Drosophila melanogaster: one gene and its partners. The protein of the gene in region 2 interacts with the protein of the main gene of each other region in a pairwise test. Each region holds a gene or a part of one and is shown on either strand. Other genes may lie near its edges. The genes, in order: Alp1, CG17107, Sesn and Pex14.

Region 1 (8,818 bases), on a different chromosome or scaffold from region 2:
ATAGTCGGATTGGTACCAATGTTTTGGGATCGAGATCGGGTTGGGAGTCGGGAGATGGGAGCTCCTAAGCCGCTAAAGCATGCGTAACAATGGCCAACACGAAATCTTAATGATCGCTAAGCCAAGGAGGAGTCGATGACCATGCACTTCTCCGAATGCCCAGAAGAGCTGGCGAGTTCCATTCATTGATTCATTCAGGTCGGGCCCTAAATGAAGTGCTCCAAGTGTTTTCAACGCACGCAGGATCGATTTTCATGTTTATTATTTCATTTTTCGTACATGTGTGTATGCCATCGCATATATGGCTTCCTCTGCCTCTTAACTCTAAATACAATACAATACAATACAAAGCGCTGGCGAATGAGTTTCGGAACATAATTAGAATTTGAAGCCAACAGTTGTTAATCAATACTAATAATCAATATACAGGGTGCGTAATAATAAAAGTAGTACACATAAAATATAAAATTGTTTTTAAAGCAAATATAACAGATGCACGTGCCGGTGAATACTCCTCAAAACACTATATCTTCGTCTACGAGTCGCAGTTTTCGATTTCAGCCAGTATTGGAAGTTGGATTAAGGATTAAAGCCATAATCTCGCCTAAGGTCCAAAGGATTGGGTGGGGAATTACGGGGTTTAGGGGCCTGCATGCGGCAACTCTTGTCTTTTCACAACAATTTACTAGTTTGGTTTGAATCATTCGGAGATGCCGGAAGGCTCTAATTCTTGAACTGAAAAACGAGTATCAAGATGATGGCCAGCAGCACGGCGCTCAGGATGCCCACCAAAATAAGCTTCTTCTTGCGCACTTTGTTCTAATAAACAACATATTTAAATTATTTAAAATAATAACCTTGTAGGGGCGGCACTTACCCTGTAAGAGCTCGCCTTGCGCAGATTTTCCGTGCCCTGCGAGACAAAAATGCTAGTCTGTTCCACCTGCGACTCGATGGAGTCCACCGTCAGTCCCTGCTCGTAGACCAGGGCGCCAAGCTTCTTGTATATCTCGTTCACGCCCACGATGTTGTTCTCCAACTCCCGTATGACCTGCTCCTGTTCCTCGAGGGCCTGCAGGTCCGCCTGCTCCTCCATCTGAGTCTGCATCTGTTGCTGGTTTGATTTGCGATTGAAGAAGTTGTCCTCGAAGAAGGAGTTGTTGTCCTGCTGGCTGGCGCTACTGTTGGAGCTGCCGGTACGCGATGAGCCGGGTGGACGGGCGATGTTGTAGCTATCTCCGCGCGCCTGCCGCAACGCCGTCTTCTCTATGTCCGCCGTCTTGCGCTGAACAGACTAAAAATACCAATGATAAACAATCAGCATGACTCACAAAACCATTTGCTTATCTGGGAGAACAAAAACAAACCTGGAAGGCGGTCAGTGCCGCCGTGAACTCGTCCACGAGCCTATCCCGCTGGATCTTCAGGTGGCGCTCCTTGCACTTGTCCACCTCGTTGATTTGATTGTTTGTGTCGGTCACCAGCTGGTTGGTGTAGGTCATTATTTGGTGGCTGTGGAGTAAGGGATTGTTATTTTTATCGTGCGTTATACATTGATTTGATTTGTGAATCACACTGTGCTGATACGTTTAAACTTTCAAAACCAATGACTGACTACAATGTTATTTTGCTGTTGGTTTATGTGGTCGGTTGATGTGCGCAAAATGTATTAAAAGGCTGTATTGGCTTAAGAAGATTTTTAGACATTGTGAGTAAACACCCAATAGAGATCTTCACTATGTCTTTAGAATTTATGATTTGTCTGAGAGATATTCGAATAATCGATGTATATCTGCAATGGGTTCTATCTATGGGGACAGTTTAAATTCCAAACGAAGAGATCGTAATGATAATCATCTTACAGCTGCTTCTTGAGCTCCGGAGAATCTTGGGGCGTGTTCAGTTGATTGACCATGCGCTGCATCGTGGACACTGCGAAAGAGACAGAAACCTAGATTAGTCATAGGCGAAAGTTGGCAAGTGCTTCGACGCCACTCACCATTCTGCTGCACCTTCTGGATGCTGGTGGCTATAATCTGGGCCAGCCTTTGGAAATCTATTTCGCTTAGGCCACCTCCTCCCCCGCCGCTTAGACCATTCTCCATATGCTGTAAGTCCATGCTTTCGTAGGCAGACACTTTGATGACCTTCGAGTTATCGCTGGAGACAAGTTGTTCCTGGAGAGACAGACAATCGAATTAGCCCCGTGGCCCACTTATATCACATTCGCTTTTATGCGTCTCAGCCAGGTTCTTGATTCTATATTCTATATTCGTGCTTGTTTGTTAGTTTGTCTGTTTGTCGGAATGTTTGCAATTCGCATTCCCTTTGTTTGCTGCACAGCCACACACCTTTTGTGGTTGCCCTAGCTGTCGTTGGTGACCTTCGCCGGTGACCTTGATCTTAGAGCATTTCCTTCGCACTTTTTACGCGTTTCGCAATCTGAAATTTGTTGATTTAAGTAGGCGGAATGTTCGCAAAACTGAAATTTTAGCTAGGTTTTTACAACAATTGGAATGGAACTGCCAACTTGTGAGAAAGTCACTTTCGACTAATACCCAAAAGTGCCTTAGCGCGTGATGCGTTTAGCATCACTTCCTTGCTACGCTTTACAGCACTTCAATTATATCGATATCTGGCGCGGCATTCAAATAGCAGATATATAGAACTGCATTTTAATTATATTCTTCCCCCTATATTTTGTCTCGAAAATGTATATAAGTCCTGAGATTTATTATTGAAAATCGATCCATGTCTAAAATGAACTGCTTAATGTTATTATTCAAAATTATAAATTATTATTTTGCACTTTTTCTCCAAAATTAAAATGTTAGATTAGGAAAATGTCGTATAGAAATGAAAATGACCAACAATGATGCCTTATAAAACAAATAAGTCGAATTTTAGACAGTTTTCCTTCCGTTCAATAAATATGTTCATACCAAATTTAATAATAATGTAGGTATACAAAACTATTTTGCTTACCCAGAATGTTATTCAAAACTTAAAATTTAACATTGTACAACTCAGGGTATTTGAAACCTGTTTAGCAGAAATAAAATTGAAGATTATTACTTTTCTTAAAAAAGTCAAATAACTGGTAGACAAAATAAGTGCAACTCGTTTATAAAAAAAATCAAAAGCAACTTAATTCAAATTAACGTTACAAATTAGTGTATTGGAGATATTTATCAGTATCCGGTGTTTGGCACGGTTAATGAACTTTAGATCGCAGAATGAATTAGGCTGCTTCGATGCATCCACTAATTACATCATCTCCTACTGCGATGCAAGATATTATGCAAATGACCAATGCAACGAACCTGATTTTTGGAGAACATCATTTTAATCTAAGCTGTGCTGGCTGCATAATTTGAATAAGGGCATAAATGCCTTTCTTTCATCCCGAAATTCCGGTTGGTAGGTGTATTTAGAAGCTTTATAATACAGGGACGGGTTTTAATTTATTGTCTCAGTGTTTTTTTATAATTCGACTCGCATTTTCGGTCCCTGTCTTACCGGGCTCGTATAAATAAGCCTCCAACTGCGAAATGCGGCTTAGTCGATCCGTAGACTTCGTAACGCCCCGACCAGTCGAAAGTTAGTTCATCAAAATTCCGTGCGATGCGTGCTCTCCGGTTCTTTGCGGCTCTTGCCCTCCAACTCACGGCCTGTAGCAGCCAGTACAAATATGGGCCAGGTGCGTAACGTCAAGACCGAGATCAGAAACGGGCCCAAAAGACCCGAAATGAATAAATGAAAAACGAGTGAGAGTGTGCCAGGTCGAAAGCAAACTCAAAACATATGCAGAATTGATTAATCAAGTGCTAAACGGAGTATAAAAGGCGTCAGCAAAATACTCGTAAATTGAATTAAATATTTGACACCCGCTAACAGAGCTGTCAAACATCACTTTTTCCGAAGGAGAATGTTTTAACGAAAGTGGATATAAGACTAATACTTTAAAATTTAAATTTGAATTAATTTTAATGCTTAATTTCCATAGGTTTCTTTCGGTGTTTTATTTATGTGCTATCTTCTGAAAGCAATTTCCCTTTTTAATGATTAATTCGAAAGTGGAGTGGAAAACAATGGCAATTGTGTCTGTGCTTTTGTTTTGTAAAACGAAACATGTGCTTGGAATTGATAAATTCTTGAGGTTGTACTTGAAATGTGTATGCATATCGGCTAGTAACAAAAAATGGTTTCAATTAATCAGAATAATATGCATTCTTAATTTATAATGAAATAAGCTAAAATCGCATTACTTTCAGAGCAATCCTGGGACCTCGACTCTATTTCCGAGTTGAAGAGCAAGGAGTTCTGGTTTCACGACGCCCAGCGCACGCTCTACAATAAGCTATCCACTCCACCAAACCAATATCGTGCCAAGAATGTCATATTTTTCCTGGGCGACGGTATGTCCGTTCCCACGGTAACCGCAGGCAGGATCTTCGATGGACAGCTGCGTGGAGTGGTGGGCGAACGGAATCGTCTGGAGTTCGAGAAATTCAACTATGTCGGTCTGTCCAAGGTACTTAGAAGTCAACGAAGTCATTTGTTATCTCAATAAACTGCTAATAAATTTATTAAGTCCGTTAATAACTAGACAGTAATTACGCCCTTCTGTCATTGTAGACTTATTGCGTCAATAAGCAAGTGGCTGACTCCGCCTGCACAGCATCGGCCTATCTGTCGGGGATCAAGGCGAACTATCTGACCATCGGAGTGACAGCCGATGTGGAGTTGAACGACTGCAGGGGATCGCGCTTGCCGCAGAATAGGCTCTCCTCGATTGCCGCCTGGGCGCTTAAAGGTAGCAAATCCGCTGGATTGGTGACCACCACTCGGGTTACCCACGCCAGTCCGGCCGGAGTTTATGCGCACACTTCGAATCGCGATTTCGAGAGCGACTACGACGTGACCAAATTGGGTCAAAATCCAGGAAACTGTCCGGATATCGCCCAGCAATTGATAGACGGAGATGTGGGCAAGCGACTGCGTGTGGTCATGGGCGGTGGAACCATTAAATTCTTGCCCAATACCACGAACGATGTGTTCGGAAACAAGGGCCAGCGGTTGGATAATAGGAACCTCATTGAGGAATGGCAACAAACAAAGCCGGGTAATGCTAGGGTGGTGTTTAGTCGTACGGATCTCCTGAACAATGATGCGCAGAACACTGACTTCCTGCTGGGGCTCTTCAATGCCTCTCACTTGGCGTACCACATGGACGACAGCATAGACACACCCACGCTACCCGAGATGACGGCAGCGGCCATAAATGTGCTTTCCCGAGATCCAAACGGGTATTTCCTTTTCGTGGAAGGCGGTCGAATCGATCACGCCCATCATGAGACCAAGGCCAAGAAGGCCTTGGATGAAACCGTTCAGTTTTCGGACGCAGTGAGAAAGGCACGACAACTCACCAATCCCTGGGACACCTTAATTGTGGTGAGTGCGGATCACGGACACACGGTCACGATCAGCGGCTATCCGGATGTTAACAACAGCATAGTAGGACTCAATTCCGAGCTAAGTAATGTGGACCAGCTGCCCTACACGTCCATCTCATATGCCAACGGCCCGGCCTACGAGAGATTCTACAAATCGACGGACGGAGTGGTGGAGCGCGTTGATCTCCGTAACCTGGACTTTTCCAAACCGGATGCCATCTATCCACATGGAGTGCCCATGACCGAGGAGACACACGGCGGTGGCGATGTGGCCGTCTATGCTCATGGTGAGTTCATGTTTTTTTGGTTTTTAAGTTTTTTTTTTTAGATGGGTTTTGAATGATATATATAATCTTAAATCCAAGCATTTAATCAAAACTCTTGAAATGTATAAAGTTGTGGAATATCTTCTTCAAGGTCCATGGTCTCATCTTTTCACTGGAGTTTACGAACAAAGCACCTTGCCTCATTTGATGGGCTTCGCCTCTTGCTTAGGACCTGGAATTACATATTGCGATCTGCAGCCAAAAGCAAGATACTCTCCCTAGAAAATCCCCTAGGAATAAATATGTTTAGAAATTGAATAAAATGATCTATTCTTAAAACAAATTGCGGAGATTCTAGAATCGCCATATTTAATCTTAACTTTTTAGCTTATATAGTTCCTGAATAAAGAGAATAAGCAAAGAAGCAACAGCACTTCCCAAAATTATTAATTAAAAAACAGACAAATTACATTACAAAATCATCTCCCTGATGTCAATTGATAGACCCCCAAATAATGAAAACTTAACCGATATAGAGCTGCGGTTAAAATAATAGCACTACTGCAGGTGGAAAGTTGATTTCCTAAAAAAAAATTATTAAATGTTTTTTTTTTAAGTCAGATTGCATGAATAATAAGTACCATATGTGGTCTCTCTGAGCAATAAATTTTTACTCTCTCAACGTAACGGTTCTTTTTGTTTTTGGGCACTTGCTGCAAAAGTGCGCGAAATTAGGCGGTAACAAACATAGCACTGACCACGTATTTGCTGAATAATATTAATAGAAGTGATTGCTTTGGGTTTTTTTTTCCACACATTTTATAAAAAGGAATTGAATTGAAGGTTTTAATTGAATTTTTTCCAAACGAAGGCCCAAAATTCTCAAGTCATGGGTCGCATAAAGCATTGTACCGTCGAAAAAAGAAATTTGATTAAAAACATGATCTCTGAAGGTAAAACCTACGCTGAAATTGGACGCATTGTCGGTTGTTCAAACAAGAAAGAAAGCCCTCAATGTCCAACGTTGAGATCAAGCCCTTGGTTCGACAAAGCCTTTTAAGCCGGCGACGGAACTGAAGAAGGAGCTTAATCACAAGTAATAAGACTGGACTGGACGTATAGGACACACCATTTTAATTGAAAATTTGAATAGAGAAAATTTAATAGAGAGTTTGAATTTTGGTTATTTCCATAATTTCGATATTATCGCATAAGTTAAAAAGCCGTTGAGCCCATTAGTATCGATTGTTCTATCGTTTTACCGTATATTTGGGCGGTCTGTCAGCGGTCACACTTAAAAATATCCCCGGCAAAAAAAAACACAAATTGTGTTTTTAATACTTTTGATATTCTAGCGTAAATAATTGTTACGCGCTCTGATGTCCACCACAATTAACGCCATAACGTTAGTCCTGGTCTAGAGGTTGAAAAGAATCCTGAAACCAAAGAACCTGAAGATCAGTTAGTAACCGAAGGAATTGCAATGGGTTCCAACGGCGAAGAATTATTGAATTTCGCAATGAACTCAGACAGCGTAAATACCATAAATTCAACAGCGGACGTCGCAGAAATTGTCTTAGACACTAATTTAGAGTTCAACAAGACGATTCCTTTTCATCTGCCTCAGGAGTCGGACGTGGAAATGGTCTCTGTCAGATCAGCTGCCGAACCTGATCCTAACAAATCAGATTCCAAAGCAAGTAATAAATCAGATTCCAAATTAGATGGTAAATCGATATTAGAGTCAGGAACCAAACCTCAGGCGGCCCCGGGGGAGGTTTTCGCTAGGAAGGCATGCCTCAAGAGGACCAACGAATATCCTGCTCCGCTGAATCATACTCTCAAGAAACTGAACTGGAAGTTTAACCTGCGTATATTGATCTCAAATCTGTACATGAAGAGCGAGGATCGTCTTCCGGGAGCTTGTGTTTCCAGGTGTCTTTACAATACTAGTCTGTGCACGCAAAGACATCGGTGCTCCGCGCTTCCGGATGGCCCAAACTTTGCGGCCGTTCAGGCGCTACGAACCACGTTGCACGGCCAGCACTACGATACATTCCTGGACATTCTGGAGATGATGGTGTTGCAGGGTGTCTACCCAGGCGAAGGAGTCTTTGACAGACTAATAGATATGGCCATGGTTGATTGCTTATTTCTCTGGTGTCACATTGTAATAATATCATGAATTCCTTATGCAGATCCTAATTGCCAAAGAGATAAGCGTAAAGGAGCTTGGCGACATCTACAACAAACTTATACGCACCTTTTTTCTTTTGGTCGACGCCTTTCCCCCGTGCTGGACAGCCCTGCGTCCTTACTACTTGAGTTTTCTGGGCGTCTCGCATCCCCCCTTGCGAGAAACACGTTCAACCAATTCTACCCAGAAGTTGCAGTTTTACATCGATCTTTTTGAGGAAAATCTAACGCATTGCAGCGATGAAGAGATACGTGAAAACACCAAATTCTATGAAAAGTTTGTGTTTAACTTCTCGGAAGAGGAGGATGCGAATATGTCCCAGGAAACGGTCTTTCTGCGACATGTACAGCAGTATGACTGGCAGAGTGGGAAGCTTTGTCTGGACGACTTCAAGAGAATGTCGCCCGCAGTCCGCTTGGCACGGCTCTGCGATGTCCTGAACATGCTCACATGTGTACTGGAAATAGAGTTCCTCTCCTGGCTGGATCATAACAGGTTGAGGCAGTCGGAGTCGGAGCTGTTTCAGGAAAACTCCAGGTCATTTGCCTCGATCGTATTTGAAATGTCAGCAGGAACGCGTCTCAGCGACATCGTTAAACAAATTATGAGTCTGTATGGACAGGTAGTGGCCAAGTCCATGTACCCAGAACGCCAGAGGATTCTCCAGGTAGGTTTGTAATGTTTTTGGGTTGTATGCTTTATGTAACTCTTTCAGTACTATTAGCGCCTTGTTTCCCTAATTGTCGAAGTAAGCAACACGGCAGAGCTAAAGTACGAGGATAATGCTGTGATATATCCTAGTATGGGACCCCAAACCCATCTGCTCATCGAAGACTTCTTCAAGATTTTTAAATCGCACAATCGCAAAAAGGTTCGCACCTACCTAATGGCTATTCGGC
Region 2 (7,028 bases):
GTGCCTGTTTACCAATACGTTAGCAATGCAGCTCCTATCGTCACTGAACCACAACCGGAATCAACTACGGTGGTGCCCACAGTAAAGGAAGAGGCAGCCACCACTGAGGGTGCCATTGAGGAAACTACAGGTGTGTCTTTAATCTAAAAATATATTTGTGACTTATTTATTTACGAAACCCATTTCCTTGCCAACAATATGTTAACTAAATACATATTTTTTTCACAGAACTGCCACTAGTTTTGTCCTCTGCATTTAAACCCACCAGTGAGGCTGAGGAGACCACTGAAACAGCTCCAAGCACCTCCACTTCAACCACCGAGACTGTTCTGATCACCACCAAGGTGGGAACATTGGAGAACTTCCAGCCAGAGACCACCACGAGTGCTTTGGACACAACATCCACTACGAGCACCACTGAAGCTCCAACTACGACGAGCACCACAAGCAGCACTGAAGATCCAACTACAACGAGCACCACTGAGGCTCCAACTACGACGAGCACCACTGAAGCTCCAACTACGACAAGTACCACCAGCACCACCAGTGCTCCAACCACAACCACCACCACAGAACGCCCCATTCAGACGCGAGCTCCGCGTGTGGAGCGAATCTTCAACTCCGACGGAGTGGAGGTGCTCTACGGATACTCGTCTGTGGTGCGGACCAACCGCTCGTGAGTGGTCAGCACCACACGACCTTGTCAAGGTCGGACAACTTGCCATTATGTGGAGATTGATGCTCGGGTTGTTTTAGGCAATTTTCAATTCTAAACGAGTTATAAACAAAAATATTTAAATTTTATGCGACGATCCGCACAGTGTGATAAACCAAAAAAAAAAAAGAAAAACAAATAACGATGCGTAAGAAGATATCGATGGAAATACAAATCCGCACAGACATTAAACAAAACAAAAATAATATTGTGCAAAATTTGTGAACGGTCTGCCAAATGACAAAAATGAGGAGAAATGCGTGAGATAAGCGATTTTATAAATTATAAATAAAACATGAACACCCATCTTTCGTTTTGTGTTTGTTTTGGCGATTGCACAAAGCGTTAGTAGGTATTTTAAACATTGTTGATCCGAAAATCGATCTTCAAATGGGACATAATATTGCCGCAACGAAACGTGATTGGCTGAGGTGATCCAAAAGATACCCTCTAATAGTAGCAGAGGGAAAGATAATTTAAATCATGTTTATGTAGGGTCTATTCCTAAAATTGAATATTCAATATAGAGTTTTTAATATAGAGCATTCAATGTAGAGTATTCAATATAGTATAGACTTCTTTCAAATCTAATTCACTGAATATGAATCATTTTGTATATTGTTCGAGCAGCGCACCCAAGAAATCAAGTCAAACACAAGCTCAGACATTCAGCAGCCCACAAGCTGATCGCTGCCCACCTGCAAAAAAAAAAATAAAAAACAGAAAAAGAAAAACCGGCAATCTCCTCAAGAGTTGTCGTCATACATTTTTGGGCTTTATGTTCCGGCATGGACGCAGTTAGTCCGATGGACAGACACGTGGACCAGTCAAGCTGACTGGTTTGGTGTGGTCAGGTCTGCAGGCTTGGGTCGCCTGGCAGATTATTCATTCATCGATCGGCTTGTGAAAATCCATGAATCCATGAAGAAGCACAGGGCTTTTTTGGGGGTTTTGCAATGAGTATCACGTTTGCTATGCCTCACCCTCGATGGAATTTGAAAGCAATCGGCTATAAAACAAACACCAAGCGCTAATTTCCATTTGAACTTGAGCGGCAGTCGCTAAACTGCATGTTGAATATGGTTCGAATGAATGCGGATCGAAGGTTTTGGCGATACGGGTTTTTTTTTTTTTGGCCACTTAACTGGCCTTTATTTACTAAGCCAACTGACTTAGTAAGCTCTAGGTCGTGGGATGTACCGATATCAGGCAGTTAGTCATAAGCTTAACGGGATGAAGAAAAATATATATATTAAGATGGTAACCACAATTGCAGAAATGAAATTAATAGATTAGTTATTTCTATCATAACATTGAAGTAATTTCTCTATCTCTCCATTTTCCTTGCTTATGAATAAATTTATCCTGGACATTTAATGACCCAAATTACTACAGTAGATTGATTTGTAAAACAAAAAGATTCGCAAATATTTCTCACTGTATGCTTGCTACAGTAAGCTCTGGCTATAAAAGCTTCATTCGCAGAAAATAAAAACAACTTCTGTTACAGCCGAAAACTATGCCACTTATATATTTAAGCTCTAGTTAACCATTGTTAACAAGTTAAGTAGACTTATTTTTGCTTTCTTTGTTTCATTATGGAAATTAAGTTGTCATACGAAAAAAAAAAAACACAGGATAGTGGGACATCCCACGATGAAATTATATGCACTCTGCGCTATCCTGCTCCTTGCCATTGTGGCAGTCCAAGGATATCCTGGTATACACGGTGGCTTTGGACACGGAGGACACGGTGGACTCAGTGGCTTGGGAGGACTTGGCGGCTTAGGAGGACGCGTTGGTTTCGGAGGACCCGGTGGCTATGGAGGACCCGGTGGCTACGGAGGACTCGGTGGCTACGGCGGACCCGGTAGCTACGGCGGTGGTGGTGGAGGCGCAGTAGCCACTGCCAACGCTAATGCAAACGCAAACTCAGTTGGTTACAGTCCGGGTGCTTACTACGGATAAGGAATGATGATAACAGCAGTCCAGAAACGGCAATTGCTTTAAAAAATAAACAAATGCATAATTATTGCATAAAGACTAAGACATTTTTCTATTATTACTTTTGCCAAACGTTATCAACACAATGGCCTTACCTTCTATGTATAATATACTATAAATATAAATTTATTAATTTTTAATTATTATTTATTAAGTGAAGAATATATATATAATTTTCGGGTTCAAAAGTTGTAATCACCGGAAAAGGAATTTTGTATAAAATGTGTAAACAGAAGCAAATCTAAGGACTTACATGATAAACTAGTTTTTATAGCTGATTATCATAATGAATTTATCTGAGCTTTTTTACAGCCTGAAAATATACTTTACCAAAACATGGCTTGCCAAAGCTAACCAGTTTTCAATTATTGATAACATAGTATATAAGCATATACTATACATATAGGTAATATTAAACGTCATGCGTTTTTAATATATGTCTAATTAATGTGCTAATCGAAGCCCCCATATATATGCCGATACAATATCGATTCTGTGATTTTTTTTGTTTTTCAGATAAACAAGTCGTCCACCTGTCACGGATGCTGGTATAAAAGAGGCCAGCACGCGATCACAAAACATCGCAATCTCTAACGATGAAGTTCCTGGCTATCTGCATTTTTCTAATCTTCGCCCTGGTGGCCGTTCAGGCACATCCTGGTGGATTCGGCGGATTCGGTGGAGGCGGTGGTGGCGGTGGTCGCGGTGGAGGCGGTGGAGGCGGTGGAGTCGGTGGAGTCGGCGGTTCGAACGCAGTTGCCAACGCGAATGCCGCTGCAACCGCCGACAGCAGAGGAGGCGGCCCAGCTTCCGCCTCGGCCTCGGCCACTGCAACCGCCAACGCCAGCTCCGGAGGAGGTGGAGGTGGACATGGCAGACATGGATAGGCTCGAAACGGATTCATAACTGTACTCTCGAAAAGTGGGCACGTCCGCTGACAGACCTACTAAACTGAAACCAATACCAATACCAATAAATATTAAAATGCTAATTCTGTTTTTGGAAATCCAAGATGTTGTTTTCGTATATTAGGTTAATAACCAGTTTATGAGTCGGGCATTATTTATAGATCTAATGACGTCAAACAAGATTTCTCTAGCCTCCTAAAAACAGACTAAGTTAACAGCGGGAGCTAATATTAGAAACTATGTTTTAAAATGTATCTAACAACTTGAATTACAACTGAAAAGTATGCATTATATATATATAGTTTTTGCAAATAGTTAGTGCATCTCAATTTTAATTTAATTTATTTTTATATTTAAAATCATTAAGCTCATTTCATTCATCATTTGTTTGTACAGCTTACCCGGAAATCCAAACAATTTGTGAGTTTTTTTTTTTTGTGTGATTACTTTTTTTATGTAATTAAGTAATTGCATTTGCCACCCACAACAAGTCTTGAATTTGGCCACTTACGGAGTGACACACTCAATTTCAGCAGGTCTAATAAATCGAAGATATTTTTTCACAAATGAAGTCCGACGTCTCTTGATATATTGTCAAGCTTCTTAAAACTCGGGTTTGCAATATTTAAATTTGCAAATTATCAACATCTGGATAAGTTTCTACGTTTACGGTAGCCAAACCTTTCCGAAATAAAACTAGTTTTATACCCCTTAATCGTACAGTAATAGGGTATGCTAGGCTTATTAGAATGTATGAAACAGATAGAAGGAGCATTTTCAATCTATATTGCATTCAGATTTTAGGGACGTTGCACTTTTGAAAAATGCTTTTGATATTTTTTTGTTTAATTACCATTTTTTCCTATCTATTGATGTGCCAAATGAACTAGTTGAGTAACGGGTATCAGATAGTCGAGGAACTCGGCTATAGCGTTTTTTCTAGTTTTTAATTCTAGCTAAATTATCTACATATTATTATCATAGTTAATTTTTGCACTAATCAAAGCACACAGTCTGCATATCAATGATGTTTTCGAAATGTCTGTTCTTTTCTGTTGCTCTAGAAAGTGGAACACACATTATAATTATAATTTGTAAATCTAAAGAGTAAAATATTTTTCTTTGTTTATTCCAAAAAGACTACAAACATTTTTACAAAATACGCTTTCAATGTATGAATTGTAATTTTATCAGCCTAGAACAATTTTGCGACTGAATCATTTCATTTATATTTTCATAATAGAAATGCATAAATTCGAAATAAAATATTATCAAAATATTCTTGACAAAGCATTCCCCTGGAAAAAAAAATGTAATTGGATGTGTGCAAAAATGCACATGTTCTTTTTATGCACATTCAATTTAGTGGATCTATACTTAAAAAGGATTCTGTGTTAGTTTTCCTTGTTTGCATGGACCTCATTACTGTGATGACATGCCTTTCAAGAATTACAAATGTTCATAGTTTTGTGTTTTTTATTTTTATTTTTATAAATATTAAAAATCTACTCAGTGAATAAATTCGGATCTGTTGGCTTATTTGCGGAATGCGTTGGCGACGGCATTGGCGTTAGCATTAGCACTGCCACCTCGGGTGTTGGCATTGGCATTGGCGTTTGCATTGGCATTACCACCGCCAAATCCTCCGTCAGAGTTGGCGACAGCATTGGCATTGGCGTTAGCTTCGGAGTTACCACCGAATCCTCCTGGTCCTCCTGGTCCTCCGAATCCTCCTGGTCCTCCGAATCCACCCTGTCCTCCGAATCCACCCTGTCCTCCGAATCCACCCTGTCCGCCGAATCCACCTTGTCCTTCAAAGCCACCTGGTCCTCCGAATCCACCTTGTCCTGGCCCTCCGAATCCACCCTGTCCTCCGAATCCAGGGCCTCGTTCCCCGAATCCTCCTCCGAATCCGCCTTCCTTCTGGAAACCAGGTCCGCTGAATCCTGGTCTTCCACCGCCCTCACTCTCAGCATTTGCGTTGGCATTTGCGTTAGCATTGCCATTATTAAACTGCGGGGCGGCACTGGACACGGCCAGGATTACGGCGAGAACGACAAAGACCTTCATGGTGATCTGCTTGATCGGAGTGACTGAACAAACTTAATGGCCAATGCCCCAGGGCCTGGTTTTTATAGTGGCCAGACGGCAGGCAGACGCAAACAAACAAAAAAAAATAAAAAAAAAAAACAATAATCTAATCTAGCCTCCGCTTTCGGATAAAAATTAGCATGCAAACAATAGTCACTGCCGAAAAATAATTTCAATATTATCGGAGATCACAGATAGATTCCCCCGATCTGGACAGCGCTCCAGAGTGGGACGGATAGCGAGTGAAAGAGTCAGATAGTGCTCTGATCGAATGCAATGGTTTAAGGAAAGTTTGCAAATGTCTTTAGACCAACACGAGCCGTGTTCGTGGTGGTTTACTAAGGAACCGGTTTGATGATATCAATATTTAAACGATTATTGATATTTGTGTTTATATTTCATTAAGCCAGTATATTTCTTACTTTCGGCACTATCATCGCATCGCTTTCAGACGGAAACGACATAGAAGCAGTTAATTGTCAGGGAATTCTCTTTATTAGCTATTAGCTATTAACACTAGAATGTGTTATATGTTTGTTTTTTTTTTTTTTATCAGCATAGATATAGAAGCAAAGTGGTTCCTGAAATCTAAATCTACCTTAATATAGAAGCGTTATTACATGATCATTGTGAAAAGAACCGTTTCAGAATCCTTAGCGGTATTAGTCCAATGATAATCAAATTGGAATCAACAAATTTGGCAAGCTTAAAAACATTACCCTAATATATTTAAATATTTTCGGTCGCTTACTACCAATATATTCTTACAAAGTCGCACATGTGGTTTTAATTAACACTTTTCTATGAGTTTCCTTGTTCTGCTATAAATCCAAAATTATTCCATATTTGGAAGCAAACCCACATCTGGTTCTTATCAATATTTTTGTAATTTACCGGCAACCGTTCAAGCCCCTATAAAATTTACATATTTTTTAGCGATGAATATATGTATGTTTGTATTCAACTTCATTTACGCGAAATAAAAATGATAATTTAAACTGCGGACGTGCGGATAGTCGAGTCAGATCTAACAAGAAAGGAAGCTCAGCCGAAGCTTATATACCCTTCTACTACGTGTATTTATTTGTTTATCTATATAAATTTAAATATGTACATATATATTTAAAAAATACGGATGCTTACCGAGTTACAACATTGAAACTATGATTTCTTTTTTATTATTTTCGAATAATTTTCCAAGGCAGTTGTGGTCGTTCGATTTTTACTAAGCAAAATACAAAGTTATTGTACTCAAATACGAATTTACACCGAATAAGAGTGTTTTTTATGATCAAGCGAAAAATTGTTTG
Region 3 (8,887 bases), on a different chromosome or scaffold from region 2:
TCGCACTCCTGCATGTAAGCCACCCAGTCGATCTCTGTGTAGGGCACCCGCTGGATGACCACCACGTTGATGACCAGCTCCGCCAGGAGCACGAAGAGGCCAACTATGGGCAGAGCGGCCGGCTCCAGGAGCAGATACTTGAAGAAGCGCACGTTGAGGTACTTGTCCAGGATGGAGTCCACCAGGGTGCCCGACTTCTTGCGCCGCACCGCCGGACGGTGGCTGGCGGCCTTTGGCGGGGCCATTTCTGTGATAACCGGCGAAAATTAATTAAAATTCAACTTGAACCGAAAAACAACCAGGGCGGCACTATCAAAATCAGCTGTTGCGCCTCCCATCGATAGCAGTCCAACTGGATTTTGCATGCTATCGATATTTTCCCAATTTAAATTTGTAGTTCTAACAGCGAGCACCAGTGGCGTCTTCCGCTTCCGGTTGTTGCTTGGTTTTCAAGAAAAGAAAATTTAATTTTATCACGCTGAAAATGCTTTTAAATATTTGTAATTTAATTTTTAAAGTATATTTGGGTTGCTACCTAAATTATTGTGGCCAAAACACGAGTTTTCCAAGGAGGGCTACCTTCATAACTTGGCCAAAAAAAGTCGCACATTCAAAAAAATTACTGTTTTAGACTCCTAATGATCCAAACTAACTATCCCAATCACAATCTTGACGATTTTCAATAATTAAATTTTTGGCCATTTTTTGCATTTTTTGTAAGGGGTTACATCGTTAAAATTTGCAAAAAATTGACAAAAATTAAAATTTTCAAATTTGAATGGGAATCGATTAGGAATGTGAATACAAGTTCAACAAGCTATGACACTCAATATTTGGGCCATAAAATCGATTGTTTTGGCCAAAATACGTATTTTTTGGTTGATTTAAGGGTTCACCTTCATAATTTGGCCAAAAAGAGTTAATGATTCAATACAGTACAATAGAAATATCATTATTTGAGGATTTGCTTGAATTTTATTGAATAGCAATGAGTTTGACAATTGCATTTTGAAACACATCCACTGCTTTTAGTTCCTGCTGAGTATTTACAATTTGAATGGCTGCATTTTTCCTAGCCAGCTGGATGTTGTAAGGCCTGCGGGTGGATTAAACCATAACATATATGTAGTAATTAGCAGAATTCCTACACGGCGAACGCTTCTATTCGGTCAAAATGGGTGGGCCCCATTTGGGGCGGGGGACCGGAACTGCAGGTGGGAATACGCAACAGGTACAAAACCAATCAGCTCATGGCCAATTTGCTGGCCAGATTAACGTCCATCGCTGGCGTCATCCCAATAGCAAACAGTCGGTCGTGGTCCGTGTGCTTTGGCTGGTTTTGCTGGCTTTGGGTGGTTTTTGGGGTGGCTCTGGCGGTTTAACGCATCGCTGAGATGCATTTGCCAGAGGCAAACGGGGTAACATAAGCCGGGCGAGGGTGTGCTCATGCAAACGCAGCTCGTTTATCGGGTTACAACTGATATGGTGGCCATGCCGCAACCACACTTAACCCACCATCGAGCCCACATCCTTTTCAGGACGCAGAACGCAGAACGCAGGACACAGGACCCAGGGCTCGGGACTCTGGACGGGGGAATGGCCCGCACCCAGACCCACCGGGCAATTAAATGTCAACCCACGGATGCGAATGGCTGCCCGATTTTCCGGCGCTGCCCCGCTCTTGTGTGTTTTTTCCGCATTTCGTGATTCATTTATTGTGTCCACTGCAGCGTGTTTGCTCGGAAAAAGAAAAACACGAAATAGTTGGCCCTGTTGTCGCTTTTTCCCGACATTTACCTGTTCAGTCAGCCAGCTGAAACACTGATATGCCACCAATTATCCAAAAAGCGAAAAACTGTAGCGAAAAAAGGTGCACGGCGATTTACAGGAATTTAGCCGGAGGATCCGTGCGAACTGGAATTCAATAACCCATTTTTGTCAGCTACATTTTTTCCAAAAAAAATCTGTTTAAAAACATTTTTGCTACAGATGAGTGGAGTTTTACCGTAAAATTTTTCTGTACTCTGATAATCCTTTGTTTCCCCTTTTTTTTAGCAAAAATGTTGAAGTGTGTCCCTTGATAGCAAAACTAATTATGTATGCCAGCATTAATTAAGCTTATATGCTTGAATACATCATTTCGCTGGAGAAAGAACATGCTCGAGAGAGTAATTCAAATTAAATATAAAATAATTTAAAAGGTTTATACAATTGTAAATAATAAAACATACTGATAGTCGTGCGTAATGTGGCAAGTCATGCATATTGACTAATTTAAGTGATCTGTGCTTTTTTCTTGGGGCCCGTACCAAAATAAGTTTAAGCATATGTTTTCATGTTTGTCGCCCCATATTTGTGGGTCAATCGCGTCCGAAGAGTTGGCTATCTCCGCATGAACTATAGAACTAAATCGGTCACTCCTTATCGGTCGCGTCGCCTTAGTCGACAGATGTACCCATGTGTGTAGACAAACCAACATACGTACAGCCTCAGCTACTTTCTGTGCGAGTGAGACAATTGTTTATTAATCAATAATAACAATAATCTACGCCACGCACACCGACACAACGTGTGTATTTCGGTATCGGCGCTGTTATCACTATCAGCCCGCTGCTGCTGTGGCTCCCATTGCTGATAAGCGACTTCCCCCACTCCGCCGCTGTAATGCAAATCAACAGCATTCGGCCTATGATAGTGATAGTGGCGAGCGGCGAGCAGTACTTTGCACTCGAGTGCTTATTAATTTCTCTTGCCAGCAGCGCACTCATTGCCTTTGCATTTTATTGTCTCACGATCTGGCTATAAAATGAAAATGGGGACGGGTACTTTATTTATCGCCGCCACTTATTGCAGTTCGTATGATACTCGCTCTATGGGCGGAAGAAACGGAGGCGGGGCAGTTCAGAGGCTCTCGAGCCGGAAAAAGTCTCTGTAGGGTAAACAAGGCGGGTTCCATGGCTCTGCGAAGTCTTTCTGCCGAGCTTCAGGTACAGTGGAGGTTCTACTGTGTGAAAGTGTAGTTAATACCTAAGTTCGTAAAGTTGCTAGTGCCATTTTTGCTTGCAAAGCATGCTTTGTTGAAAACCATTTGATATCTTGCTAGAAGCTTTCAGTTTAGTGACTCTACATCCCTACATGCTGGCAGTTTCGAACAGTTTTGAGCTGTATTCCAGTGAGGATTAATCCCATTTGAGTTCGAAACTATCGCCTCTTGTGCTGATTATTGTGGACAGAGATATTGGATCACGACACAGAGGGCTGACTGTGGCCTCTTTGCTTTTGCTTTGAGCTTTGAACGCCCGCAAATGCTGACTATTTTGTTGGGCCCTAGCATGGTGATAGAATGTGGGAGGGGGAAAGGGGCGTGGCAAAGGGGGAGTAGGTTGGAGATAGGAGGGCTAGCGACTAAAAAGTGTTGATAACCGGGCACACATTTGCATCCACAAACACTGCGACGCACACACGCACACCCTGCTTTCTAGGCCTCTGCCATTTAAGTTCAATCATTTGGAGCGTCGTCGCTGCGTTGTCATTGTTGTTATTGTTGTTATTGTTGCTATTGTTGCTATTATTGTTATTGCTGCTGCTGTTTGTGTTGCTGTCGCTCCATGTGCTCCTCACATATGTTGAACTAAAAAGAATTGGAGGAGCAGAGAGGCAGGGCGAAGAAAAGAACTGTACATTTGTACGGGGTGTATTGGTTTAGTTGGGTACCCTACGCTACAGAAGAAAGTAGAAGGTTGAGAAGGAATATGTCTCCTACTTTTCGTGCGTTAGCACGCTTTTGTAACAAGTTTCAATAAATAGATTATAGAAACTATAAAAAGCAACAATTCGGATATGACAGTCTCTATATCTTGTTTTGTGTAGCGTATTCGGCATGCAGCTTAGCTCTCACCCTTGGCAACGGCAACAAAGTAGGTGCAACAAAGAGTCATAGCGACCGTCTCTCCTGCGCCTACAGAGCAACTCTCCCCACCCCCAGCCCCTCAGGAAAATGGTCAGACTGCTTCTGCCTCTGCCTGTTGCTGCTTTGCCTGCTCTTTCTGTCCCACACACTTGCTCTCTCGCTCGTTGCTCGTAATAAGCTTACACAGAAAACAAATAATTGAAATCTAAAGAAGTTCTCCTTTAAATTATTAAACGCAAAGGTATAATTAGATACAATGAAAATAAGTTTCTTGCATGCAGATCCTTTTAAGCTACGAAATCGCTGTTAAAGGCCATATAACTAGCATTGCATTAGTTGGTGATTTAAGTGCTTGACTTTTCGCGCAGTGTGGCGCACTCTCTTCGGCTCTCCGCCCCCGTCAGCTGTTGTTGTTGCACTGTGGGGCTTTGGGGCTGCGATACCAGCTGTTTCGTTTCGTATCGTTTCGTTGCGATTCGTTTCATTTCGTTTCGCCGCGATTCGATTCGAGTCGAGCTGCTTCAGTTGAAGTTTGTCGCTGGCCGCGTTCAGTTGTCCGGCTAGAAAAGCGGAAGACCGGGAAATCCAGACGCGCTACAGACGCCCGATATCTGCTCCCACTCTCAGCGCAAGATCGCGGGAAATCAGGAAGCTCCGAAAACATCGGATAACCGTTTTTATTTTTATTCCCCTTTGGTTCGTTCTCGCCTCCGTTTCTTCTGTTGCTTCTGTTACTTCTGGTAATTTCCATTTCCCTCGGGGGGATACGCGCTCAAACGCAACTGCAGGCGGCGCAAAACAAGAAATGTAGATAGCGCCAAAAATTAAAAAAATAAGAAAAATAGAGAAAAATAAAAAAGCGAAAATCATTGTTATTGCATGGAAAATTACTACAGAAATCTCCTGCAAAGCAGCCCAGTCAGAGTGGCACTAAAGCAAACCAAACCAAATCAAACCCAAAACTGAGACAACAACAAGGCGGCGGAGCATAAATTAGATTGGCCTCATAGTCGAATAATAACGAGCTCGAGCCGCGTAAACAAATTAAACGATGCTGACCGCCGTTGTTGTTCAAATTTAAATATAAACTATTATTGTTATCTCTGCGCTTGCCGTTGTCTATTTTCGCGCCAAATGCAATCGGTTCTTCGGTTTTTTCGGGGTATTAGGGGAGAGGGCATTACATAATTAGTGAGCGCGTAAATTAAATTATAAACGAAAACGGACGAAAATCGAGTACCAACTTTCTTCGTTTCCTCTGATCAAAACAATACATTTTATCCACAGTTTTCGTGTCTTAAGTTTCGGAGCCCTTCGCCGATTTCCAGCAATTAGTTACTACATCATATATGTTCTGTGTTATCAAAAACGCGAGCGAAAGAAGCGCTCTATCTGCGATTGTAAAGACAAACACCACAAGAAAGTAGCTGTGTGCCCCTCGGGCAAATGAACCGAAATTAAAGGAGATTACAAACATCGCTATCAAGCAAATGTAGAGACTGTTAGTCCGGCGAACAAAGGGTAAGTAAGAAAGGTTCCATCTATACAGTACTCCAGTTTTCCCCAATACATTTGCAAATGTCCTTTGAGGCCAGGACTGTTACTAAGAGGCTTTTCCGATGAAATGGAATGTTCCTTAGGGATTGTCGTAATGGAAAAAAACCCAAGGCACTGCAAGAAACAAAATGCACTTTAGAATTGGTTAAAATATATCCTTAAGCTGGTATTCCCCTAACATAGGTTGCCACTCGCATTTATCTGCAGTGCCCCACTTAATGTCTTCATACATAAATAACTGGCTATTTTTGAATATTTGAATTCTCTATTGAATCTATAGAGAAACCATTCCCTTCCCCAGTGCACAACTCTCGACTGGAGTAGAAGCTCATGCTATTGGGTTTGCAGCATCGCTTCCCACAAAATCCTCACAAATCTTTGGCAGATTGCACATGTGAAACCTGCGGTTGTTGGCCAATTCCGGCTGTTTTCCCATTTTTTGGCCAGTGCCAGGGACTTTGCGGATTGACGGGCTGTCAAGTCAGCGCAACAGGTTCCTGGGCCAAGATGCGTATACAGAAAACAGAATCGAATGGAAGACACACTGATTCAATTCGTTCAGTATTGGATTTGCTGCTGCCACACAACTTCAAGTTGAGGAAATTGGCACTTGACCTACCGCACGGGAATCTAAATTAGGCGGCGTGTTCGCTTGCCGAGCGTTTCGCCCTCTCTTTCCGCCCCACTGCGAAGGCGAAGCCTCGCACGCGGTTTTTGGTAAACTGCTGAGGGCATTTGTTCACTTTGCTGGCTGCGTTTGTTTACGGTTTCCATTACCCGCTTCTCGCGGCTTCAGCTTTTTCCAGTTCTATTTCGAGTTGGCCATCCACTAATTAGGCAGCTTGTCGGGCAGCATTCGAGTTAAATGTTCGGCACTGCAAATGACATGGTCCTTGCGGCCATACACACGATACTATCCATTGTTACACTCGTACAATACATGCGGTGAAACAATCAAGTACGCCGACATGGGCGTAATTCGCAGACAAACAAGAAGAACGAAAACGAACTGAGCCTGCGAATTAAGGCCCCTGCTCGGCAATGAATTCTCTTCGCCATGCCAGGCCATCGGCCATCCCGGCGTATACGTAATGCTACGGGCCGAAAAGAATTGAGGAATGGCTGGCAGTTAATGCCAATTATGATAAACGGTTGCTATGTAGCCGTCGCACACAGATACTCTACACACTGGCGCGCGCCACACAGATACTCACGCAGATACAGATACTCATGCACTCGCACTCGCACAACTGTTGCTCGCGATGTTGTTGATGTCTTTTAGTTGTTGCCAGGCGCATTAAGATTGCCGCTTGTGCTTGTGTGTGTGTTTATGTGTGTTGAGTGATTGGGTGTACGAGTGTGTGATGGGAAATCACTTGAACCATCGGCTGAGAGGGCAATTGATATGTGCTTCCATCAATGTTGCAATCAGTTAAGCGGCTTTCGAGCGCCAGAAACAACTGAATCGGTCTGTAAACTCAATCGAATTCGTCCTTTTGCGACAAAAACAACAGTCATGGTCCTTCCAATGACCTGCGGCCACTACCATTATTAATTCGATCAGCTGTACGCTTCGCAGATTCCAGTAATTCGATAAAAGTTTATTTAAGCACTTATTTGAACAGATTCAAATAAGTAAATTGAAAGTTTAGTACATTATTTCATGTTTAATGCGGATAGTTTAAAAGTTGTGTTGTTTGTTGTATCCGCGAATGCTGCTTTAATCATAGTCATTTCTATGGGCGCAAGACGAGGTGACTGAACTCGCAACAGCAACTGCAGCAGCCACTACAACTGCAGCAAGTGCAGCAGCAACACAATTGCAACTGCAGTCTGTTAAGCTTGCTTGCCGTTAATTTGTGCAATCTTCTACTTTTACCTACTTATTACAAGTAGTCACAAACAAAACTGAGTATTTTCCATGCCGTTTTCCCATGCTTCAGATTCAAGGGTATTTACGCATGTTCTTCAGCTAACTGCAAGCATAATCCAAGTGGGAAACTTTCTGACTTACCCATAATTGTAAAGACTTAATTAAAAGAGTTTCAATAACTAATCAAATGGATTTCCCTCACAGCGCACATAACTCACCATCCATATCAGTATATCAGTAGCCTAATAAATGGCGATTGGCCCGACTTAAGTCAAGTGAATATATAAAAAATCTAATCGCCAAATATTGTTTATGGTGGTCAAGTACGATTAGAAGTTCTTTGGAAAAGCCATAGCAACTGCCAAATTCAGATTTCTATTCATTTACTGCCGCTGCTCTGCAAATTGTGTGCGAATATTTGTGGATTTCTGTATGTAAGTGGGCAAATTGCATTACAACCGAATAATAATTACAATGCAAAAGTAATTTTGTGTGCGAAATTCTAATTCCCCATGCAGCCGAATAATTGGGGTTGGATTTATCTATCAAGAAACTAATGGAATCACATTAGTTTTAAATACAACTTTGCTTCAACTTAGCTTAAATTAATGGTATGGATATTTCATCAGTTGGCATTATAATTAGCCCGTGGCATTATAATTAGCATAATATCAGCACTCCTATCGGCATCTGCCTGCCATTTGGATTGCGTCAGCCGAAGATCGGAATTAGATCCTTGTTGACAATTGAGTTGCCAAAATAGCGGGCAGATGTTGCACCCAGGGCAATTGAAATGCCAGAATGTGTTTGTATCTTTGCATCTTTCTATCTGGTGATGCAGATCTGCATCTGCGAGTCAGCTGACACCGTTACTCACGCACTCATGGCACCCAAAATAAAACTGTGCATAATGTCAGTGCACTGAACTGGCCGCATGAATCGCAGTCAGAACTGCAATTCGGTGGCAAGTTGCAATCAATATGAGTTTATGCAGCGGGGTCAACGAACTGGCCGCTGAAAACTCATTAGCGTAGTGCCGCAGGCCCAAATCTCAGTCGGGGAAATCGGTCGAAATCGGTCGAAATCGGACGAAATCGGACGAGATCGGACGAGAAACCGGGGGAAATCGGCGAAAAATCGGTGCAGGCCGGGGAAAATGTAGCTTTCTAGCCGCATGATCGCACAGCTGAAAACAGCTGAAAGCAAAGCGACGAGCGCGAATAGCAAATTGCAAGGCAAACAGCTCGTGGCGGTCGCCATAGCCCACATATACATACCCCCACTACATACATATGTACATGCATGCATATATGCACTTGTATCTGAACAATCAGCGTCAATAAGCAGCGCAATCGCCGTTCGTCATCGCGCTGCTACTGCAGCTGCCGCACAATGGCGAATAATAAAATTAGCCACAATGACGAACAAAGAAGCGCTGGCAGTGCAAGTTTGTAATGGCCATTACAAAACAGGCTAATCTGCGGGAAGTTGGCTCGCAGGGAGCCTCGTCCACTGTCACTGGCCAACAGAGGAGGGCATTTAGCGAC
Region 4 (7,923 bases), on a different chromosome or scaffold from region 2:
AGCTGAATCTAAGTGAAATGTGTGACCTTTACAGGCCCTTCCTCGACTTCAAGCCCGTTTCCGGTTCCTTCCAAGTAAACCCTCCTCATTGCGAGGAGCTGATTGAGGCTTCTTTGCTGCACATCGACAAACTGCTCACGGACACCATGGAGCCTCTGAGGTGAGATTAAACATCGGTTTGATGTTGCTTATGAGTATAATACAATTTGTTCTTGTTTTACTCAGCTTTATTGTGTTTCTGCCGGAGTGGAAGAGCATATCCAAGCTGGACGACAGCATGTACAAGCGCCGTTCAATGGTGGTATTGGGCATGGCCCACGAGTACAGACACGGCTATCAGCACATGTTGCAAAAGTAAGTTAGTTAAACTTATGCTTTTCCCATTCATACTTATTTAACTCCGTTAATTTCCAGGTCTGATGTGCTGATCAAGTGCATGCAGGGCACACAGGTGGTGTGGTTGCAAAATAGCGCCGGATACGCGCGATGGGGACCCAATGAAATTCGCGTGGAGGCACTGCGTGAGGCCTTCAGGCCACAACGAGATCGGGAGCGTGAGCGGGCTGCAGCTGCGGCGGCAGCAGCTGGGGTAACCTCCAGCCAGCAATCGCCATCGACGCCCCCATCCGCCGCATCCACGGCTCCAACAACCAACTCCTGTACGATCAGTGGAGTCAATAGCAACAGCTCATCCACAGCCACTACAACGAGCACAAGCAGCAGCCCGTCGCTGACCACAACATCGTCCTCAATGTCGCCACTGTCCCCGCACACGCCCACCGGGAATCCGCCGCCACAGTTTCCGATGACCATCAGCAACACCAGCAGTAGCAGCAATTTGGTGGCCGCCTCGCCCACAATGAGTGTGCAAAGCGATTGCTCTTCGCCCTCCTCGTCGACGATGTCTCTTTCACCGGCTCCTGCTTCGGGCGGCTATCCGGATGGAGTGACATCTGCCACAGCGGCAGCGGTGAGCATTACGGCAACGACTACCACATCGGCTGCTGGAGCGGGATCTGCATTTGGCCAGGCCAATAGCATCAGTAGTTCCGCATCCACGCAAGCGGTCATCAACTCAGCCGTCTAGATTTGATTCTTTTTGGGATCTTGCTATCCACACATGGTTCTATTTTGTCCATACTATCTGTGCACTTTCTGTTAGCATAAATTAGGGTTACATTTGAGGAAGAAAAAACCAATTGGGCCTGAAGCCACACTAGCGGCCATGCTCCCAGTTCTGAGGTTTAGTTTTGTGTAATCGGATGATAATCGCTTTAATTTAAACAAACGCGGAAGCCAAAGGGATGGCAACTTCTGTTTTTCCGAAAAAGTACAACTATCCAATTCCGTTTTCAAAATGTATCGTTGGAACCAGGAAAACGCATATACATATTACGCAATATTTTGTAATTTCTTATTTTAAAAACTTAATTTGTAACGTTACACATCGCTCGGTGTTAATCAAATGATGCCTGTCCGAATGGTAAATTACGTTTGGGTCAAACAACAGGCTTTAAAACACTAAATATTTTGTTACACATTTTTGTACTTCTTGTCAAAGCTTTAATTTTCAAACGTACACATTTTTGTACTTCTTGTCAAAGCTTTAATTTTCAAACGTACACAGTGCTCGGCCTTTGGCAGCTGGTATTGCCCCCATCGCAAGGTATAATTAATTGTAAATATGTTATATTTAATTTGAAATAGCTGATAAAAATGCCGGCCTGGCCGCTGTTTATCTTATACGATTGTACCCAACAAACAAGGGCCAAGCTACCCAACAAAAGACTCTAATAATGCATACATAGTATGGGTAGGGGTACTGTTCTCTATCCTTGTTTCAGGGTATTTCGCAATGGTTTGTCCATTCACAAAACGAAGTGAGAAATAAAGAACACATTCATGTGAACTGTGAAGCCCTTAACAATCGTTTGTGAGAATATTAACTTACTAGAATACATTAACTTTTACGAAAATGGCAAACAATTATTTGAATACTAAATTATCGTATGTACAAATCGATAACTAACGTAAGTAGTGAAGGAAATTTAATGAAGGGAATGCGCAGAGAACCAAATTTGTAATTGAAACAAAACCATAACTAGGCACCGCACAATAAATAAATAATTTAAATCCGTTAAGGATCTGGGTGGAGTCTTCAAGGAGCTTGTAGGCAAAACCTCGAGGTGCTCCGCCCGGCATAATCTTAAATCAAACCTAAGGGAATTTAGCCAATTTATAGAAAGTAGCACTCGGCAAAATTTTTAGAATCCAATTATCGTCTAAGTCGAAATTTATTGTCTAAACCGATATGCTATCCCCACCCCGTATGTACCGATAAACAAAAAACTACACAAAGCATTTTTGCGCTTAATTAAACAGTTTCTTTCAATTCAAACCTGTTATTATGTAAACTTTTTATTATTACATTGTATAGACATCGTATCGCATAAGTGTGTATATGTGAGTGTGTGTATGTACTTTTGGATATGGATTAGCTGTTGACTATAAAGAAACCTTAAATGCTATAAACGCAAAGAAAAAAAACCAAAAGTCTTGAAGGCATTTAACGGGGAAACTCAATTTACAGCGTAACTATATACTACGTCTATATAGCCAGCCTCGTATTCTGATTGCATTACATGATCTCCAAGCTGGAGTCACTATTCTTGGTGACCACCTCTGTCTCCGACGAGCCAGACCCGGATCCAGCATCATCGCCCTTCTCGTTGTCGTCCGACCCGCTGTGCCGGTGATGGTGATGCGGTGAGCCGGCCAATTGCCAGGCGGGAATGGATGGCACTGCGATCGGAGCCACAGGGCCGGCGAACTGTTTTCGGTTCAAAAGCAGGCCCTTAATGGCATCCAGATCGCTACGGAAGTTACTAAATTCGCGGTTCAGCTGCTGGGCGTGTTCCCTTTGCTGTGTGGTGATCAGATCCCTGACCGCCAAAATCTCCTTGTTGAGGTCGTTGGTGCGGGTCTCTACCTTCTTGTCTATGTCGTCCAGGACTTCATCGACCGCCTTCTTCTTGGACTTGCCGAACAGGTAGGGCGCAATGTATTGCTGAAATTATACGGGTTTTAGAAGTTATTAGCAATCATGGACTTTGGACTGGTGGACCACTTAAAACTTATTTATGCGTCCTAACACTTTTACAAAATGTGTTAAATACTAAGTAAATTCAACGTCGTCTGGTAAAAGTGTCATCAAATATATGTGTAATGTATCTAAGCCTTAGACAAGATGGCGATCTTTAAATTCGCACTCGAGTTGGTGGAGTAAATATAATAAATCTTTTTAAAAGACCCCGAAATAGAGATCCCACTGCATCTCACCTTCCAGAAGATGTAGACTGCGTAGACGACTCCGCTGAACAGGGCTGCCGAATGGATGATTTCCCTGATCCGGCCCAAGACAGTCGGCTGCGGCTGCAGCGCGTGCAATTGGGATCCAATGCTAATGACGGTGTTCGGATTCGGATTGGGCTTGTTGGGGTCTTGGGTGAAAACGCCGGCCCGTTCACAGGCCAGCTGAATTTCGTGAGCGGTGAGACCTTTGGACCGTAGGAACTGCTGCTTCTGGATAAGTGTCGTGTGGCGCACCTTGGTGTTTTGTAGAAAACTGACTGCAGTGGTTATCTGCGGCGAATAGTCGGATTATAGATTAGGCAAACTTGAAGGGGTTGAACAAATATTACCAGCGATTCTCGAGGCAATTGCTCATCTACGCCGGCCTCGACATCGTTCTGCACCGAGGTAGCCGTCGCCATGACGGTGGTGTCCCCAGTGTCCGTGTTGTTGCTGGACATCTGTATATCGACTCTTAATTCAATCTTGCCTAGCTAATACACACGAAAACGGAGTGAATCCGAATTCACGAGCAATTCGATTACAAAGTGCACAAAAACAAAAGTGTGACCAAAGACTTTGCTGCTCTCGAAATTACTAATGCATTAGCGTTTCTAGGGTTATTATGTATAACGTTAAGGTAATTTGTAACGTAATAAAGATTTGAACTTGGAAAAATGTTTTTACCGAAAAATTTGGTAAGAAATGTTTCTATTATAAAGAACATAGTACCTGGGCTAAAATTTTAAATGCATAATATACCCAATAAAAATATACTGCAGTATAAAGAATCAGGAAACTTGAATTAAGATGCCGAGACTAAACAAGCAAATCTTTACATTGAAGAACATTAAAAGGGGCTATGAAAGGTTGGTGGCAGATATGCCAAATGTGGTTCTTACAAATTGTGGGTCCTTAATTATTAGTTTCTTTTTCTATGACGTGTAAGCACCAATGTGGTAAAATTTGAAAGTGTAATGGCGATAAGCTCGTGACACTGGTATTTGGTATTTATTTTTGTACCAATTTTATTAATCCAAAGCGTTTAATCAACGCTCTCCGTGCTTGCATTCATATATGTATTCATTTTGCGTCACCTTCTATTTTGTGTTGCATGAAAGCACTAACGCCTTGTTCAAAACGCCAGAACACCACAACTGCACCGATTTGATTACCTGTAGACCGAAACACCTCATTATTTTTATTATTTGGAGGAACAGACAATATTTTCCGGATATAATGGACACTCTGAAGGGCATGCTGAAGGCGTACGAGGCGTGGGTGGGCAAAAACCCCGACGTGGTGGGGGATTTTGAGACCACAGCCAAGTGGGTATCCTACTTTATAGCAGGTAAAGTGAACTCCTTGCTTACATAGAGCCTACAGACTCATCTCATTGGCCGGCTTCCAGGTCGCATTTCCTCATCAAATGTGGTCAGTGAGCTGGTATATACACTGTCAAACATGCTGGTGTTCTACAACGACCGGATCATCGAAAAGGCACGCAATTCCGAGGAGAATTCGGTGATCCACCTGCAATCGAAACTTTGCTACCGTCTAAAGGTCACGTTGACGACGCTCGAATATAGCGAGGTTTTCATCGAGATATCAGCCCGTCGGCTTTTCGGTCAATCCGGCAAGTGGCTGGTGATAGCGCTAATACAGGCCTTCAAGGCAGCGGGCCGTTTCTTTATCTTGAAACACTCAACCTCGGATATAATCACCTCACCGCCCATCGCCGCACTGAATCGAAGGGCCAAACAGAGGAAGAATTCGGGGGATGGTGTGGCCTCCTCCACGAACGATTTATTGCAGTCCCAGCACTCCATTACCTTCCAATTGAAGCGATCTGGCCGTGTGATTCGTAAAGTGGAGGGTGCTCCTCCCCTGCAATACCGCGACTTCAAGCTTCATATAGACAACAATGAAGCGGCGAAGACGCAAATTCCGAGGAAACTCCTGCAAGCAGAATACCTGTATATATCGAAGCCACTAATCCACCTGGTCGCCATGGGGCTGTTCGGCCGGAGAAGTTGGAAGCAATATATGGTAGCATTATCCATTGATTTGTATAGCATTCACCTCTACCGCCAGCATCGCGACCTAATGTCCAAGCAACAAAAACTGGAGCTGAGCAGGCGATGCATAAACATCATGTACTTCCTGGTCCGATCGCCGTTCTATGACAGCTTCACCAAATCCAGACTGGAGCGGATCCTCGACTTTGTGGCCACAAGTGTGCCCATTGCTAAGGTGGTTGCCAAACCCCTTAAAGATTACATTCCCACGTGGCAAAGCACTTACTTCTATCTGTGGTCCACTTAGGCATTTCAGGTAGAGCGTTAGTATTCCCCTAGGCTAAGTTTTAAAGTTACAGGTGTGGACGCATTCGGAGTGTTGAGGGTGGGTTGAGTTTTGGTCCTTGAAAAGTTGTTTGCACAATAAAACGATGGAGTAATTTTCGATATGTTTATAGCCAACTTTCATATTCCTTGAATTGACCCACCCACATGGCATTGCCGCTCTTGAGGTGAAAAATGATTATACATCCCAATTGCTTTGTATGGCTTTTTAAATTATATATGGAACAATATTTATACACATACAATTAAACGAAATTTTCCACTTACATCGCTAACTATACATAACAATTAATCGTAATCGTAATGGGCTAAAACACACAGAATCAGAACTTCAGACTGAATCCCGGTCCCATGGCCAACTGGCGCTGCGTTATTCCAGCGTTCAGGACAAATCCCGTGCTAGCCGACGATCCACCAGCTCCGTGGCTCTTCTTGTTGCCAGTGATAATCCCAGATGAGAGCTTGTTTCCCGGTCCCACGATGATGGGCTCGTCGCGGCCTAGTTGCTTGAACTGCGAGCCACCGGATGGCGGTTTGGGGGAAGAGGCTTGCGCCTTGCGGGCTCCCAACTCGCTCTTGGCCGGCCAGGTGGGAAACATGGATGGATCGATGGGCAATGGCAGCTCCTTGAAGAAGCCGTGCTTTAGTGCCGCGTCGGCGCTCAGTCTTTGTTTCGGATCGTACGTCAGCAGACCCTGCAGCAGCGACAAGCCCATTTCAGAGGTCTTCTCCTGGAAGTGCTTGCGCAGTTGCGAGACGGGATACTCGGTAAACTGAGAGTTCTGCGACAACATGTTCTTCACGGCTGGGAGCTCGGTGTATCCTGGCCAGATCTTCTCGTTCGGAGTTCCCAATTCCTAGAACAATAAATCAAAAGTCAATAAGCATTCTCGGCAAATGAATTTCAAAGTTAATACTAACAATTGTTCAACAAGCTTATTTTAATAACTAAACTTTAATGCTCAACCACAGCTTACCTTAAAGATCCTGTTAAGCTCATCGATTTCAGATTTTCCCGGAAAGAGCGGCAGCATCTGCAAGAATTCGGCGAAAATGCAGCCTACCGACCAGACGTCTATGGGCGTGGAGTAAACCGGCGAGCAGAGAAGGAGCTCGGGTGCACGATACCAGAGAGTGACAACAAGTGAGGTATACTTCTTGATCGGCGATCCATACTCCCTTGCCAATCCGAAATCACCCACCTTGAGAATGCCCTTGTGGGACAAGAGGAGATTGGAGGTCTTCAGGTCACGATGCAATATCCAATTGTCATGGAGGTGGGCCACCGCCCGCAGAAGCTGCTGCGTCAGACATTTGACTTCTCCGGGGAAAAAGCTCTGCTTACGATTTTTCATCGTTTCCATCAGGGATTTCAGGTCGTGTTCTACATAGTCCATCACAATAAATATCTTATCCATGTTGGATCCGACCACGATCTCGCGAACGGTCACAATATTCGGGTGCTGACCCTTGAGAAGAGTGTTGATCTCCCTGAGTGATGTTATCGGAAATCCCTCCTTTTCCTTCTCCATTTTCAGACGCTTAAGAGCCACAATCTCATTGGTTCTTTTGTCCTTGGCTCGATATACCACTCCATAGGTTCCCTCTTCGATGCGGTTTAGACACTGGAATTCCTCCACAGACCGGCAGCCCTGCACACCGGGATAATAGTTGGGCAGGGGAATGCCCTTGTCATCGCACGGAATTTGCTCCTCCAGAGACTTCTGTTTCTCTTTGAGTTTCTCCTCGGGCTTCTCTTCCGGCTGCTCTTGGGTCATTCCACGTTCCTCGCTGCGTGTGCTGCTGCTGGGTGAGGCATCTGCCCCCACGTCTTGACGATCTACCTCATCCTCTAGGCTGCTTTGACTTCTAGAACGGGATCTGGACCGACTGCTTCGACTGGACTGGGAGCTGCTCTTGGAGCTTACAGAGCGAGATCGCTGACGTTGCTTGGGCGACTTGTATAGCTCACCCACGCTAAGTGGACTGTCGGGTAAGGGTAAATCCTCGTCATCGTCTTCCAATTGAGACTTGGATTTAATCTTGCTCTTCTTTTTGCTAGCATAGCTGTCTTCGCTTCCAGACTCTGTTGCGCTTCCTTCGCTGTCTTGCTCAGGAACCTCCTCGTTTGAGTCGCTCTCCTCGCTTTCCTCATCGTCATCATCTCGGATAACCTCGATATCATCTTCCCGCCGCTTCTTGAGTTTGA

Evidence for each region.
Region 1: the proteins of CG17107 (region 2) and Alp1 interact in a two-hybrid assay, tested with the Drosophila melanogaster proteins (one large-scale study listed by BioGRID).
Region 3: the proteins of CG17107 (region 2) and Sesn interact in a two-hybrid assay, tested with the Drosophila melanogaster proteins (one large-scale study listed by BioGRID).
Region 4: the proteins of CG17107 (region 2) and Pex14 interact in a two-hybrid assay, tested with the Drosophila melanogaster proteins (one large-scale study listed by BioGRID).

The regions. Positions count from the first base shown.
Region 1 is NT_037436.4:21,439,557-21,448,374, reverse strand, and holds Alp1 (alkaline phosphatase 1), read left to right. Parts: upstream 1-3,555; 5' UTR 3,556-3,624; coding exon 3,625-3,700; intron 3,701-4,274; coding exon 4,275-4,534; intron 4,535-4,638; coding exon 4,639-5,743; intron 5,744-5,852; coding exon 5,853-6,004; 3' UTR 6,005-6,148; downstream 6,149-8,818. Other genes in the region: Syx7 (syntaxin 7), read right to left, coding at 724-819, 878-1,294, 1,368-1,512, 1,863-1,932, 2,000-2,120; CG5664 (uncharacterized protein), read left to right, coding at 7,206-7,862, 7,921-8,586, 8,644-8,818.
Region 2 is NT_033779.5:10,678,676-10,685,703, forward strand, and holds CG17107 (uncharacterized protein), read left to right. Parts: upstream 1-3,290; 5' UTR 3,291-3,315; coding exon 3,316-3,606; 3' UTR 3,607-3,853; downstream 3,854-7,028. Other genes in the region: CG17104 (uncharacterized protein), read left to right, coding at 1-130, 229-680; CG17105 (uncharacterized protein), read left to right, coding at 2,372-2,683; CG7299 (uncharacterized protein), read right to left, coding at 5,164-5,697.
Region 3 is NT_033778.4:23,709,469-23,718,355, forward strand, and holds the start of Sesn (sestrin), read left to right. Parts: upstream 1-4,431; 5' UTR 4,432-4,650; intron 4,651-5,197; exon of another isoform or gene 5,198-5,212; 5' UTR 5,213-5,431; intron 5,432-8,887. Other genes in the region: Alg3 (ALG3, alpha-1,3- mannosyltransferase), read right to left, coding at 1-245. UniProt on the Drosophila melanogaster protein: Functions as a negative feedback regulator of mTOR function.
Region 4 is NT_037436.4:20,774,822-20,782,744, reverse strand, and holds Pex14 (peroxin 14), read right to left. Parts: upstream 3,947-7,923; 5' UTR 3,813-3,946; coding exon 3,702-3,812; intron 3,643-3,701; coding exon 3,340-3,642; intron 3,068-3,339; coding exon 2,639-3,067; 3' UTR 2,367-2,638; downstream 1-2,366. Other genes in the region: Pcif1 (phosphorylated CTD-interacting factor 1), read left to right, coding at 35-160, 226-354, 415-1,087; Pex16 (peroxin 16), read left to right, coding at 4,591-4,702, 4,763-5,676; pitslre, read right to left, coding at 6,038-6,571, 6,692-7,923.